Sus scrofa: one gene and its partners. Each later gene encodes a partner of the first gene's protein in a complex. Links are inferred from orthologs where the notes say so. Each region holds a gene or a part of one and is shown in the gene's direction. Other genes may lie near its edges.

The links. Proteins that work in one complex are often made in the same cells at the same time.
Region 2: NUP214 (region 1) and NUP153 share a complex: the UniProt entries of both Homo sapiens proteins name them as parts of the nuclear pore complex. The link is inferred for Sus scrofa from reciprocal best matches to the Homo sapiens genes NUP214 and NUP153.
Region 3: NUP214 (region 1) and CETN2 share a complex: the UniProt entries of both Homo sapiens proteins name them as parts of the nuclear pore complex. The link is inferred for Sus scrofa from reciprocal best matches to the Homo sapiens genes NUP214 and CETN2.

Annotation. Positions count from the first base shown.
Region 1 is NC_010443.5:271,102,107-271,106,946, forward strand, and holds the start of NUP214 (nuclear pore complex protein Nup214), read left to right. Parts: upstream 1-1,731; 5' UTR 1,732-2,093; coding exon 2,094-2,138; intron 2,139-4,840. UniProt on the Homo sapiens protein: Part of the nuclear pore complex. Has a critical role in nucleocytoplasmic transport.
Region 2 is NC_010449.5:13,463,204-13,468,137, reverse strand, and holds the start of NUP153 (nuclear pore complex protein Nup153), read left to right. Parts: upstream 1-1,560; 5' UTR 1,561-2,130; coding exon 2,131-2,241; intron 2,242-2,359; exon of another isoform or gene 2,360-2,590; coding exon of another isoform or gene 2,591-2,659; intron 2,660-2,722; exon of another isoform or gene 2,723-3,060; intron 3,061-4,934. UniProt on the Homo sapiens protein: Component of the nuclear pore complex (NPC), a complex required for the trafficking across the nuclear envelope. Functions as a scaffolding element in the nuclear phase of the NPC essential for normal nucleocytoplasmic transport of proteins and mRNAs.
Region 3 is NC_010461.5:123,902,673-123,907,624, reverse strand, and holds the start of CETN2 (centrin-2), read left to right. Parts: upstream 1-1,578; 5' UTR 1,579-1,632; coding exon 1,633-1,731; intron 1,732-2,636; coding exon 2,637-2,795; intron 2,796-3,050; coding exon 3,051-3,179; intron 3,180-4,216; coding exon 4,217-4,354; intron 4,355-4,773; coding exon 4,774-4,863; 3' UTR 4,864-4,952. UniProt on the Homo sapiens protein: Plays a fundamental role in microtubule organizing center structure and function. Required for centriole duplication and correct spindle formation. Has a role in regulating cytokinesis and genome stability via cooperation with CALM1 and CCP110.

The DNA of each region.
Region 1 (4,840 bases):
ATAGTGTATCTGTGCCACTCAGCACAGAACCAACTAGGCTTATCTCAGCGGGTTCCCAGGTTTACAAGACTGCAGGAAACCTCCTAAGGAGAGGAGAGCAGGTGGGCATGTCCCCAGCTGCTAGAAAGGGTGGGAAAGCGTCCTCATTGGATAGGGAGTGTCCTGGGAAACCCCCTCGGTTCCTTCACGTGTCTTGGAACTCAGCTCCTGGGTCTCAAGAGTGGTCCCTGGAAAGGGTGTGTGTGTGTGTGTGTGTGTGTGTGTGTGTGTGTGTGTGTGTGTGTGTGTGTGTGTGTGTGTGTGTGTGTGTGTGTGTGTGTGTGTGTGTGTGTGTGTGTGTGTGTGTGTGTGTGTGTGTGTGTGTGTGTGTGTGTGTGTGTGTGTGTGTGTGTGTGTGTGTGTGTGTGTGTGTGTGTGTGTGTGTGTATTTCAGGTTGTGGCCATTAGCTCTAGGACTCTTATTTTTCTGGCCATGGGCTCAGCTTCTTAGAAGTTCCGCTGTTTCCTCTCTGAAAGACCAAATCTAACTAATATAACCAGCAACTTGGGGGCTGCCAATATGGCTTCACCCCTGCCATTGGAAAGGAGGGAGTGTATGGGGCAAATTCAGGTGGATGCAGTATGTGTGTATGTATGCATGTGAGTGTGTGCGGTACCAGATATCTCTACAGAATGGAAATAAAACAAACTTATCAACGTCTTGATTGGTGTATTTTGGGGGTGGTTCTGGGCCTTAGTAAACTGAGAAGCACTAGCTGATATAGTGACAGACTAAAAGAATGTGTCCTGTGTGCCAGGTGCTGTTAAACGTTGAACTTCCTTTGCTTCTCATAGCAACCCCATGAGTAAGGTTCCATTATGTCATTTTTGTTTGAGAAATGAGAAGCAGGCTTGGAGCAGATGAGGAGTCTGCTGAAAACCAAGCAGTGACAGAATACGTACCCCTCCCCCCATCTTCCCGGGAGCTGATCACAGCCTCCAAGCTAAGAATCTCTGTCCTAGAGCATTTACAGTTCCACTGCAAAAATCTCTACGTAGGACTGTGTCATAGTCAGCAATCAGTATATTCAGACAAGCCGAACTCTAATCCTGCCTTCACCACTTGAGGGGCACTGGGGAATTTTCTTAACTCCTCTGTGCTTCCAGTCACCTCAATCAATTAAATGGCAGTGACAACCCCTAGGTGACTACTGAAGAGTAAACAACACATCTAAAGTGTTTTGTGGGAGTTCCCGTTGTGGCACAGCGGAAATAAATCTGGCTAGTATCCAGGACCATGCGGGTTCCATCCCTGGCCTGGCTCGGTGGGGTCGGGGATCTCGCGTTGCTGTGGCCTGCTGTGTAGGCTGCCCGTTGTAGCTCTAATTAGACCCCTAGCCTGGGAACTTCCATATGCCACACAGGCGGGGCCTAAAAACCATAAATTAAATAGTGTTTTGCCCAGTTTTTGGGCCCTTGCACCGGAAACGATTACCTTGAAAGGCGTAAACAAAGCTAATCACTGGTGCCCTCTAATCTCCCCTTTCAGCCATTAGACACAGAAGAGTCTCGCTGGCGACACCCACCTCACCAACTTCCCGCACTTTTCCCTCCACTCTCCCGGCCTCCAAAGCCCTTCTCAGGAGCTGCCCCTTGGAAGTATTTGTCAAGTTCCTAACTTCTCTACAATTGGAGCTATTAATAACCACCTACATCCACAGATTACAGTGTCGTTTCCATTAAACGAGCGTGGAGGCCCTGCAGGTGCACCGCTCAAAGAACGAAAGCGAAACCGCGCCACCTGCTAAAGCGGCTGCTGCAACCGGACCTCCCGCGCGCAGGCGCCCCAGCTCCCGGGCCACGCCCCCTACTCGGTCCAAGCCAGCCAATGGGAGGCGGCGGCCAGGAGGGCTCAAGACTTCAGAAGGGCCCTCAGCCTCCCTTCACAGGTCCGCGGACCGAGGAGCTTGACGTCACCAATGCGCGCCGGAAGTACGTAATCTGCGGAGCGCTGCTCAACCTGAAGAAAGGAAGTTGGCCTGGAAGCGCCTGGGTAGTGTTGGCGAGGCCCCGGGCAGCCGCGGTGGCTGCTTTGACCAGTTGAGAGCGGCGAGATGGGAGACGAGATGGACGCCGTGATCCCCGAGCGGGAGATGAAGGTCAGACACTGGCCGGGGCCTCCCCCCCTTTCTTAGTTCAGGTGTTGCCTGCGAGACGCGAGTGTCGGCTGCCCCGCCCCCCGCCTGCAGCTCGAACTGTTTGCCGGGCTCACGGTTCTCACCAACGCGTCCTGGAGAGCTCTGCCGTGCCGCCGGCGTAAAAGCCCCACTGAATGCAGTTTTGCCGCCCTAGTTGGTCTTGTCTGAGCTTCTTGAGTTATCCTAACTACGCTTTTTTTTTTGGCCGCGCTCGCGGCTTGCGGAAGTTTTTGGTCCAGGGATCGAACCCGAGCTGCTGCAGTGACAACTCTGGATCCTTTAACCGCTAGACCACAAGGGAACTCTTCTCCTACCTACTCTAATGTGGTGGTCGGAGTAGTGGTCATAACCACTGTGTATCGAGCGTTTGCTTTATGCCAGGCACTGATAATTATCACAGCAACTTACGAAGTGCTTGTTAATATAGAGTAGCAAGTTGAGGCTCAGAAAGTAACTTGCCCAAAGCCTCATTTGACAAGCGTGCAGAAATTTAGGTGTTTGTCGTTAGTGTTTTCAAGACCCTCTCTCAGGTGCCAGTACTTCTGTAAGGTGGTCCAGGCTTGCCCGTTCATCACTGAACCTTGTAAGAGCTTTAGTTAACTGGAACTGGAGGACTCTTTTGGTCCTGGAAATCAACCTGAAGTCAGAACACTTGAGCGGGCCAGCTGAGCCAAATGATGAGAGGGAATTCACAAGAAAACAGGACTGTGTTGTAGGAAGACTTTAGGTATCTGAACAACTAATCACTGAAGTGCATTTAAAGCGTAGTAATCCATACCATGTTTAGAGCTGTGATGCTCTCTTTCTCCTTGAGAATCACTGCCCTGGATGAGCCACCCAGTGAGTGTGCCATGTTCCTCAGATATGCTGGGGCAGAAGGATGAAGAGGTTTAAGAACAACCACCTTCCTGGGTTACTGGTTACAAGACCCAAGTAGGGGAGTTCCCGTCGGGGCCCAGTGGAAACAAATCCGATTAGGAACCATGAGGTTTCGGGTTTGATCCCTGGACTCACTTAGTGAGTTAAGGATCCGGCGTTGCTGTAACTGTGGTGTAGGCCAGCAGCTGTAGCCCCGATTGGACCCATAGCCTGGGAACCACCATATGCCACGAGTGCAGCCCTTAGAAGACAAAAGATAAAAGACAAAAACAAACCAAAAAGCCAAAACAAGACCCAGGTAGGATATTTGGGATTATCAGGATGAGAATTAACAAAAAGATTCACAATTTTGTGGTCTCACTTGGAAAGCCATGTGGATTTCTGATCCCTATACTTGGTTGAAATTAAGAAGAGTACTTCAAGAGTTCCCATCGTGGTGCAGGGGAAACCCGACTAGGAACCATGAGGTTGTGGGTTTGACCCCTGGCCTCGCTCAGTGGGTTCAGGATCTCGGCGTTGCCGGTGACTGTGGTATAGGTCACAGACACGGCTTGGATCTGGCGTTGCTGTGGCTGTGGTGTAGGCCGGCAGCTGTAGCTCTGAATCAACCCCTAGCCTGGGAACCTCCATATGCCTCAGGTGAGACCCTAAAAAGAAAGAAAGGCTGTCTTCACTTTTATACTTTTTGGAGTGTAAGCAAAAGAAGATTCACACTCTTTTCACTAAAACCTTCACTTAAAGCTGGATTAGAATTGAAGAAAGAAAAAAATAAAAACCGATATAGTATAACTTAATTATTGGCAAGCTTATATGGAACGCTTTTTACCAAGAGATGGTACATACTGAAAATTCTTTGAAAACAGATTGATAAAATCATGGGAGACTAGATGAGTCAGGCATTGACAGGAGGTTGAGGAAGGCTACCAGGCCCTGAGGCACTAAGGAGCATGAAAATGGAAGGAAGGGAAAACCAGAAGTGAGTAGGTGGGGGGTGGAGGTGGCGCTGGACGTGGCAGGGGTGATGGCGTAGTTGTGCAAAGGAAGCAGTGTTGTCAGGTGGCGCTTCAGCTTGGGCGGGTCAAGCCAAGCTGCTTACTGCCTGTGGCCGGGGTTCGGGCTTGGTTTTGGAGGGTCCTCATGGCATCTGGGCGTGTTGGGCCTCAACACCAAGGGTTTGACTGCACACATCCCCATCTGTGACGGGAGTTTTGTTTAGCAGGCATCTGATGCAGGTAAACCAGTTCTTGGGAGTTTGTTACCCTTCAGTGGTCACCTCCATGTATATTTGTTGAGTACTATACTGGTAATTTGAGTTTACAGGGTAGGAGGTCCTGTCATGGCTCAGCAGTTAACAAACCTGACTGGCATCCATGCGGACGCAGGTTCGAACCCTGGCCTTGTTCAGTGGGTTGAGGATCTGGCGTTGCCGTGAACTGTGGTGAAGGTCTCAGATGCGGCTCGGATCCTGTGTTGCTGTGGCTCAAGTGTAGGCCGGCGGCTACAGCTCTCATTAGACCCCTAGCCTGGGAACCTCCGTATTTTGTGGATACAGCCCTAGAAAAGACAAAAAGACAAATAAATAAGCTAGGAATTCAGAAAAGGGAAAGATCAGTGTTCACTGGGTTAGTCAAGAAAAGCTTCATGAGTTTTTAAAAATTTATTTTATTCAATAAATACTAATAAGCACTATGCCAGGTACCACAATGTCATAGGAAGATTAAAAACGCGCAGAGTTCCCTCATGGCTCAGTGGGTTAAGGATCCTGCAGTGGCTCAGGTCCCTGC
Region 2 (4,934 bases), on another chromosome or scaffold:
GTATTAAAGGATGAGGTGCCTCTGGGGAAAGAGCTTGTGTACCTGGAGAGTCTAGTGAGAAGTTAGTGGTGGAGTTGGGGCATGAAGGTATAAAATGGAAGCACAAAAGGAAGTAGATTAATTTTGTCCATCATATTTGGGAACTTTTTATAGTCTTGGTGGTGATAAGGTCAGAGATGCCATTTGTTCTGTCAGCCTATGCTGGAAGATGCTGCAAATTCTAAGGTACTGCTTAAGTTTGGCTTCACCTTTTGACTTATATGATTTATATAGCGATTGGAATCATGCAATTTGGTGGTAGAGATGGTATAAAAGTCTTGAGGTTAATTATTTGTATCAGATAACTGGATGATATTAGATGCTTTCTGTCTAAGCAGTTATTATGAATTATGTATATTAATCCTTTCACCAGAACCACCAACTTGTTGAGGTTAATATTCATTCTATTTGCAGATGAGGAAACTGAAGCGTAGAAAGAGGATCAGTAACTTACCCAAGGCTACACAGCTAGTAAGTGATAGATTTAAAATTAAGTTTATTTGAATCCAAAGCTATTTATAAGCTTTAAAATCAATTGTCTCAAATGGAACATTAAGCCCATGTGTTTTCACAGAAGTAGATTTTCTTTCTAATCACTTGGTTACTTGTTTCAACTCCTACAGAAAAGTTGGGTTATAGTCCTGGCTTTGACTGCCCAGTTCAGTGTCCTCCAATATGTCGACTAAATTCTCCGGAACCCCGTCTTGTCCGTTGAATGAGGGCTGGCGCACGTGATCACCCAGATCTTTCTAACGGTCAACTTTTAAAAATCGCTATACTTTGTGGATTAAGTCTTTGAGCCTAACTCACTTTTCACTTTGCTAAATATAATGCCTTCTATTTGGAGCAAATATATGTATACTTTTATTACTGGTAATATACGGCTTACCTCTAACGTGAGCTTGACTGCTGTAGGTGATCACCGTAACCATTTATTGCATCTCTTGCATGCCAGGAAATACACTAAGTGCTCCACGTAGATGATCGCAACAGCTGTATAAGCTGGATTTTAAAGTTCCCATTTTATAGGGGCGGAAGGTTTTGACTTCAAGGTCAAACTTAAGTGGTGGAGCCAGACAGCACTTGTGTGTTTGACAACAAAGCCCTTATTGTAACGGACATTAATGAAACTGTATATATTTGCTAATTCTGTTTTAGGCTTAAAGATCATAGACACTGTCTTTTCAACCAGTTTTTTTCTTTTTATAAGATATTGTTAGCTTCTCTCTGTGATTTTACTATGTGCTTACTTTCTTCCCGCTTTACCATTCCAGAGAAGGAAAGTGGGAAGGAGGTTACCGTTTGTGTTAAATGCCTCTTTCAAAGTTTAGAATCAAGAGCAGTTAAAAGGAACGGAACCCCTGGCTTTGTGCCTCTGCAGGGAACCGCCGCTCTCCTTCCGCGTCCTCCGTTCTGAGCACGCGCCTCCTTCCGTTGAACTACGTTTCCCAGCGGCCCGCGCGGCTGAGAGCGCGGGCTCGACTAGCCCTTCCCACCTCCCCGCCTATCACCTGGTCACATCGTGATGATGCAAACTCGTCGCGCGCTGACTAGTGACGGCGTCCTGGCTCGCGACCGCAGCGGCGGCCTTAGTAGCGGTAATAGACGCAACAGCGGCGATTGCAGGGACGACGACGACGACGGCGGGGCGGGCGCTGTGCGCAAAGGGGAGGGGTAGGCGGGCGGCGCCGGCGGCTTCAACTGCGGCAGCTACGGCTAGGGCGACGGAAGAAGAATCCCCGTCAGCCGGCGGTCGCGTTAGGCCTAAGCAGCGCTTGGAACCTCTTGTGTTGTCCTCGCGGAGAATCTCCATAGAGACGGTGACATACACAGAGGCGGGGGTCCGCGGGAGGCTGCCGGACGGGAGCCAGGTCCTCGGCCTGTGTCGCCGCCACCCCCTTCGCTGCCGCCAGCGCGCATTCTCTCTCGGCTCCTGCTCGCAGACCCGCGGTTCCTGGTGTGCCTGTGACCCACTGTGTGGGCAGCGCGGACGGACTTTTGGGCTGGGGCCGGGCGGGGGGGCCTCAAGGCCGCCTCTGCCTCTCCCGCCCCCTAACCCGCTCCTCAGGGGGAAGCCGCGGAGGCTCCGCCATGGCCTCGGGAGCCGGAGGCTTAGGAGGGGGCGGTGGCGGCAAGATCCGGACGCGGCGTTGCCACCAGGGGCCAATTAAGCCTTACCAGCAGGGGCGACAACAGCACCAGGTACGGGACCCCGGCGCCTCGGGGCCTAGCGGGTCGGGCACTGGGGTGGGGAGGGAACGGGCGTGAGGGGTCCGGGGCCCCACGTGGAGCGGACGGGAGGGCCTGAGCGAAGGCCCGAGCAGGGCGGCGGGAGCTCGGGCCGCTGGGGTGGCGACGGGAAGTGGGCTGAGACAGGCCAATCTTGCGGCGCACACGTGTGGTTCGGGCCGCCTCTCCCCAGCCCTCTTAGCCTGGGGCTTTCCCCCGACCGGCGCAGGGCGGGAACAGAAATCCTAGGCCACGACGGGCCTAGGATTCTTTCGTTTTTGGCGGGGATTGGGGGTGTGAGGGTGTTACCCACGTCTTCTGGATGGGAGAAAGGAAAAGATGTGGCTGGAGGCCCCTACGTTTGATATTTTCTAGTCTCCCGCGTTTCAGCGTGAGTGGGGAGGGGGCTGCCCTGGGGTATCGGCCTCTGGGGCCCCCGGGGGTTGGTGGTGGTGGGGGGCGCTGTTAAACGGCAAGTGGAAGAAGTTACTCTCAACCTATTAGTTAATTCTCCATCTCCCCTTCCCGGGTGCCTCCCGATCTGAGAGCGTTGACTTAGATTTTTGTTTTCTTAACCGGGTTATAGTTAGTGGCACCGGGGCATTTTGAAAGTCCCTCTCCGCACTTACGTCTTTTTTCCGTCGCAAGACTCTTCCCTCCCCACTATGTCCACCCCTCCCCTTTTTATTTTGGAGGCTAGAATTGGCCATTGCGCACAGTTGACCGGAACTCCAGTTCTCATCTCATGCACAAAATATTTTAATATTATGGGACGTACTTTAGGAAGTTCAGGTACTTTTTAATAGTCTAGGAATATTGGTGGTCTTATAATTTAGTCACCTTGTGTACTCGTGGGCGCTCGAAATTATGAACAGGGGTTTAGTCTAATTGTAACTGAGATGTTAGAGTCTGAGAAAATTCTGCTTTTTAGCTGTTAATTGTTTGTTATGGGAATTGAGTAGGAAAATGTTAAATATTCTAATAAAAGGCCCTTTAAAATTTCTCGGTGGGAAGTATATGTCTTAAACCTGTAAAAAAACTAAAGTATGGCAAAAGGGTCTGAAAACTTGTTGCGTCCTGTTGAAGGCAGACTTCCTAGATTGCTGTGTTGTGGATGATAATGAATATGAGCACTTTGACATGTTTAGTGGTGGTAAATTGTATCATGAAAAAACAGAATTTTAAAAATAAAGATTTGGGAGAAATTTCTTAACAGTAAAAACTGGGTTATAATAGTAAGTATCTTTCTACTAATGGTTATAAGCCTTGGCATTATTGTTAGCTCCCACCACCAGTTGTCCCCCAGATATATACCAGGAGTGCTTGGTTTTTAGATTTCTTTGTGAGGAGCAGGGGTACTTGCAGACAGATTTGAGATTAAAATTCAGGTCACAGGACTGGCCATTTAACCTAATCCTTTTGGAGAGTGGAATTTAGACACATGCTTTCTGTTTTTCCTGAGGAATAAATGTCTTTCAGTGCTTTCTTACATCTCCTTAAAGTTTCTACATAAAAAAATGATATGTTGTAAATACAGATCACTGGATGATGTGGGCAGAGTGTAGAGAAGAACTCATATATTCCAGGTAGCAAAAACTATAACCGCACTTTATTTTTAAATGTACTTAGAGAAAAATCTGATTTGGGGGAAGGTGATGCCTTAACAACATTTAACACCTATGATCCAAATTGTCTTAGAGCTGATAGGATTTCAGACTCTGCAGTTTTGTGTTAGAGCTTGATCATTTATCATGTCGCCCTCTCTGAAATACTTTCAGCTATTTGCGTGAGCCATCTGATTGAAAAAGAAAGAACATTTTTAGGTTTTGAATTGGGATTAAAGATGTTTGGCGGTTTCTTGATTAACATTGCAGATACATTGTGTTAGTATTGGCAGATACTACCAAAGAAAAGTATCTGGGAATATACAAAAGAATATTCTATTTAATTTAACGATTTTTAAAATCTTCAAGACTTTCTTTAGTGCTTACTGGAACTTTTGTGGATTATGGACTACCTGCTTGCTGTCAGCTTTCCTGGGCTGTCACCTCTATGTTTTGCAGCAGCTGCTGAGTCATCATGAATAGCAAGGAGCTTCATGACATGGCATGTTTTATACTAATGTTATTTGATTAAGTGTCCAGTGGTTTCTGGGCAAAAATGAAGTTTTTGGTTGTGTAGTAGAGGGTTGGAATAAGAATGGGAGATCTGGCACTGTTAGTTAATGGATATTTGTCATCACCTTTCAGGCCAACTGGCTTGCCCAGTCACACAGAACGTACAACTTTTGCATGTGTTCAACTGACTTGTAATTTCCTGTTTTGACTTCTGGTTTAGCTCAGCTGAGATATATTTCAAGTTTACACTTTTTCCTTTTAACTTCTGATCTTTAAAATGGCATTTTCTTGAAGTTGTGGAGGTAAAAATCTATTGTCTTACTCAACTAACTGAAAGGTAGTAACTTAAGAATTGTAGAAGCAAAAGTGAAGAACAGCACTGAATGAATAAGTCATCATTTCCACTTGCCTCCTTTCCTGTCCCAGGTGCATTTAGGAAATGGTGCCATTTTTTTTACTTGGGCTTGAACAGGTCGCTACAGAAGATGTGGTTAGTTCTTGCCACCTGTTCAGTATCCTTTTTCATTTCCTTTTTGTACGGATTGTCAG
Region 3 (4,952 bases), on another chromosome or scaffold:
ATAAATAAGGATACAGTTATAAGTACTAGGGGATAAAAACAGAGAAAGGTGTAGGGTTTGGGTGTTCTGGGAGATGCAGGGCTAAATAGGATGCTTAGGGTGGCTCACTGAGAAGGTGACAGTGGAGCAAAGACCTGGAAGAAGGAAACAAGTAGAACAAACAGGCAGAAGAGATGGTTGGAACAAAAGTTTGAAGGCAGGAGTGTGTCCGTGCATTTGAGTCCATCAAGGAAGCTAGTGTCCTGGGGCTGGAGCAGCCAGGGGAGAGGAGGAAGCATGTTGGGATGGGCCTTGCAGAGCATGGTGAGAGCTCTGGCTTGTACCCACAGGGGGGCTGCTGCTGAAGGCGTGAAGTGGGACAGGAGCAACAGAGGTGGAAAAGAGAAAAGAAACACCCTTTAAGGAGGAAGCTGACAGAAAGTGGAGGCTAGTTAGTGGGGCCAGGGCAGGAAGAGTCAAATAGGACCAAAAGGTTTTGGACTCGGCTTGTGCTCAAAGAGGAAGAGGGTAAAGGGCAGAAGTTCGGCAAACATTTTCGCTTAATGAATGTCAATAAATCTCAGGCTTTCTTCAGCCTGAGAAACTTATGCTCTGTCCCCTGCTTCCCAAAATGCTGTGCCAATGCCCAGAGGTGAAGCAGGTAAGGGCTGAGAGGCAAGAAGTGCCCTTACACTGGGCTGGCTAAGGAAGGCAGACCTTGGACTTCCAGGGCCACTGTTCCAGCTCCCTTTCATCTGTTACCGTGGCACACGCCCCCTTGTAATTCTCTGAGCAAGCCTCACCTTTCCAAAACGGCTCTGTGACTTTGCTCATGAAGTGTCCCCACCTGGAATACTCCTCACTATCCGCCTTGAGTGTTTGGTTGTCAAAATGAGTATATTTTGATGATCTGTCCCCTTTATGCTCACTCAAATCTCCTTCACTCCCTTCAAAGGCCGTTCCTAGGCCCCCAGCTCATCTTCCCGAGCTGCTTTTAGCCAGGTGAGAACTAAAGTGATCCTATCTTGTTATCTATTTGGGGTGGGACGGACACGCCCAAAGAAAGAGCCTCAGGTGGATGAATTCAGCTTCTAAGTCCCAGACGTCCGAATTTCTGTGATAACGCCCGGCCTCTGCCTTTCCTTCTCCGTCTCAGTTGCCCCGTAAATACATCCTCTGCTCCAACACGCAAGGTCACGGTCTTCTCTGGCCCCTCTGACCCTAACTCAGTCTTAGTCCAGACCAGAAAGTCCCCGACCGGGTGAGGGCTTGTTACCTTTTCGAGCCCCGCGAAAGGCCCCACCCAATTCCTTGCCTTTCCAGTCCTATCGCCAACCCAAGAGCGAGGTCGCAACCCTTACCTGTTGGTAGGTGCCTCCCTGGCCGGCCTCAGCGCATCGGTAGCCTACAGCCTCAGAGCTCCAGGCGCCAGCAACCACCTGTTTCTCCCCACCCTTATGAGGCTACTATCAGCCGAGGCGCCTCCACCAAAGGGATTGGTGCTGGCTCGGCCAATCAGCGCTCGCGGTGTAATCCTGCCCAATAAGGCCAGGCCGCGCCACAATGCCCTGCGCCCTGCGTCAGGCCTCCGTCGGGTTAGTCCCACCCACTCCAGCACTGTGCCAATGGGGAGCTGCAGTCATCTGTCCTCCAATGGGGTGCAAGGCCGCGCGCAGGGGGCGGTGGGAAGGGCGCCGAGTCGGTGTGTACGTCCGTTGCCGTAACAACGGGAAGCGGAGTCCATCGGCGATGGTGAGTGCTTGTTACCCTTTCGAACCCTGTGTCCAGAAGCTGAGCCCTTCACAGGCCTTGGCCTGGCCCCGCCGTCTCTCCTGCGCGGTTCTCGGCTTTGGCGCACTCTTTCCTCTGAGCGCTTCCCGGAAGGGTAGGGTAGAGATCCTGGCCGCCCTGCTGGGCCTGCGATTAGCCGCTGCGTCCCATTCAAGCCACAGCTGGCCCCTATCCGTCCTTCGGGCTCCCCTGGCTCCTTCGGTGACCACCTCTGGTCAAAACAGACTCGGGCTCTTCGCACACCCCGACCACTTCCAGACTCTGGCCTCCTGGCCGCCTCTACCAAAGTTTCTACCCAGAGCCTAGGGGAAGTTTATTGTGTTTGATTGTTAATGTGCATTTAAAATGTTAAATATTGGGACTTCGGAAACGCTTTGACCTTCTTGGGGAAGGCTCAGATGTGCCGAGGGGATTGAGTTTTATTATTCGATATTGACAGAATATACATCTTAACTTAGTATTTGGCCAAATTAGAAGTAATCAGAAAATCTTATAACTTAGAGCGAAGCAGAATAGCGTTCTAAGGACATTTTTAGATTTAGGGTCCCAAATTCAGAGAGAGCTGATTATCTGTACATTTATCCAGAGTCAGCTCCTTGGCCAGCTCTCTTTTTAGATGATTTCAAATAAGAGATATCCAAAAGAACAAAGGATCTCCTTCTAGAAACAGTAGTAAAGAAGAGGGAGGGATAGAGGTGCAGAGAAAGAGTATTTGCTCTTTTCACTAAACGCTGTTATTTCTCCTGTTAGTTTTGGAATTCGTTGGTATAAACTATTTTAAAAGTAGATAGGATTGTAACATATTTATGTAAAATATGTACCCTATTACATAATACCGTGCTTCTCTGTTTGTGAAACATATAAAGGCCTCTAACTTTAAGAAGACAAACGTGGCATCTGCTGCCCAGCGAAAAAGGATGAGCCCTAAACCAGAGCTTACTGAAGAGCAGAAACAGGAAATCCGAGAAGCTTTTGATCTCTTTGATGCTGATGGAACTGGGACAATAGATGTTAAAGAACTTAAGGCAAGCCCTGTACATTCCTGCTCTGCTGCCTTGACTTTTCTCTGCCTCTTTCTCTTCTGTGCTGTTTTTCTGTCTTTATTTACCTCAAGTATTATTAAACAAAATTGAGTGCAAATATCAATTTGCTTAATGTTATAGTGTTTCCTAATTATTTTAACATGATTGTGTCAGATACTGGCTTAATGCTCTCAATGCTGTCATTTTTTGCCCCTGGGTTTAGATGTACATATTGAGATGATCCTGTTTTCATTGCAGGTGGCAATGAGGGCACTGGGCTTTGAACCCAAGAAAGAAGAGATCAAGAAAATGATAAGTGAAATCGATAAGGAAGGGACAGGAAAAATGAACTTCAGTGACTTTTTAACTGTGATGACTCAGAAAATGGTAGGTTAGCTAAGATGATGGGTGTATTTTCCACCAATAATGGTGGACAGATTTGAGTCTAGATATGAAAGTGTCTTTTCACCCATTGGTCCCTTTCTCTTTCATTGGCCTCCTGGCTCCTCCTCAGTGTGGCTCATGTACATTCTACTGGCCCGTGGAAAAGTAGCTCCATCAGTGCTTCAGCTGTGCTTCCCAAGGCACAGGTCTCTTCCCACTCTAATAATCCTGTTGCTTTGAAATCATCTAATCACACCCATATTTTTCTTCAGGGACTAAGTTAAGAGTTCAGGAAGCTTTTCCTCTTTTCCTCTGTCAGAGTACCTGGGATTCTAGTAACTCTTGGTGCTCTCATAAGTGAAATCGCCTTCTCTTTCCTCCCTGCTCCCCTCTGCCCCCAAGAGGATCCCAGCTTAAGCAGTGGAATTTCCTCTAAACTTAATCCCATCATCTGCTGCTGTATTTTATTTATTTATTTATTTTTTTGTCTTTTGTTGTTGTTGTTGTTGTTGTTGCTATTTCTTGGGCCGCTCCCGCGGCATATGGAGGTTCCCAGGCTAGGGGTTGAATCGGAGCTGTAGCCACCGGCCTACACCAGAGCCACAGCAACGTGGCATCCGAGCCGCGTCTGCAACCTACACCACAGCTCACGGCAACGCCGGATCGTTAACCCACTGAGCAAGGGCAGGGACCGAACCCGCAACCTCATGGTTCCTAGTCGGATTCGTTAACCACTGCGCCACGACGGGAACTCCTGCTGCTGTATTTTAAAAAGCAGTCTACTTTTCTCTTCCATTTGTATAGAAAATGTTTTAAGTGCAAGCCTTTATATTTCCTTCTTAGCCTCTGGGATTGTACCAATTTCATGTTTGTCCCCTCTCTCTACGCTGGTTGATTTTTGATCTTCTGTGACCTAGCACCAATGTCATGAGGCCATGTGGTGCTGTTGTGGCAGGGCAGAGGGGATGGTGCTAGGGTTGTGGGACACAGGTAATTATGAGTCTCTTTACTCATGTGTTTTTTATGTTCTACTTGTTAAGTCTGAGAAGGATACCAAAGAAGAAATCCTGAAAGCTTTCAAGCTCTTCGATGACGATGAAACTGGGAAGATATCGTTCAAGAATCTAAAACGCGTGGCCAAGGAGTTGGGCGAGAACCTCACTGACGAGGAGCTGCAGGTGTGTGATGTGTCAGCCTGGAGCCCTGTGTGGCTTTTCCGTGTTATGTTTTCTCTAATGCTTTGGAGGAAAACTAGCATTCTCTTGTCCCTCTAGTGACCATTTAATTTCTTTTTCAATAGTGTGGCAAACGTATGGGCGCTGCTGCCTCACGGATAGTTTTACTTACTATTTTAGGTTTTAGGCGTCTCCCTGGTCAAGATGATCTTCGAGCTCAGGTGATACATGTGTGGCAAAGGATGGCTGGGTTTTCAAATAACTTTTCGGGAGGCAAGCTATTATAAGAAGCAGCATCTTGTAGTGTGTGTGTGTGTGCGGGGGACTACAATTGTCTATTCAGGTAGCATTATAAAAGCCTATTATTTAGTCACATTTTTGTTTCATTTATGAATTCATCTAACTTGACTCCTGTTGTGCAGGAAATGATTGATGAAGCTGATCGCGATGGGGACGGAGAAGTCAATGAGCAAGAGTTCCTGCGCATCATGAAGAAGACCAGTCTTTATTAAGCTCGGTCTCTTTCCTACCGCAAGCACCTGGAACTAGACTGAGTGCCTGCCATTGTGTGAAACCTGGTTTTTGAGAACATAAATTACTT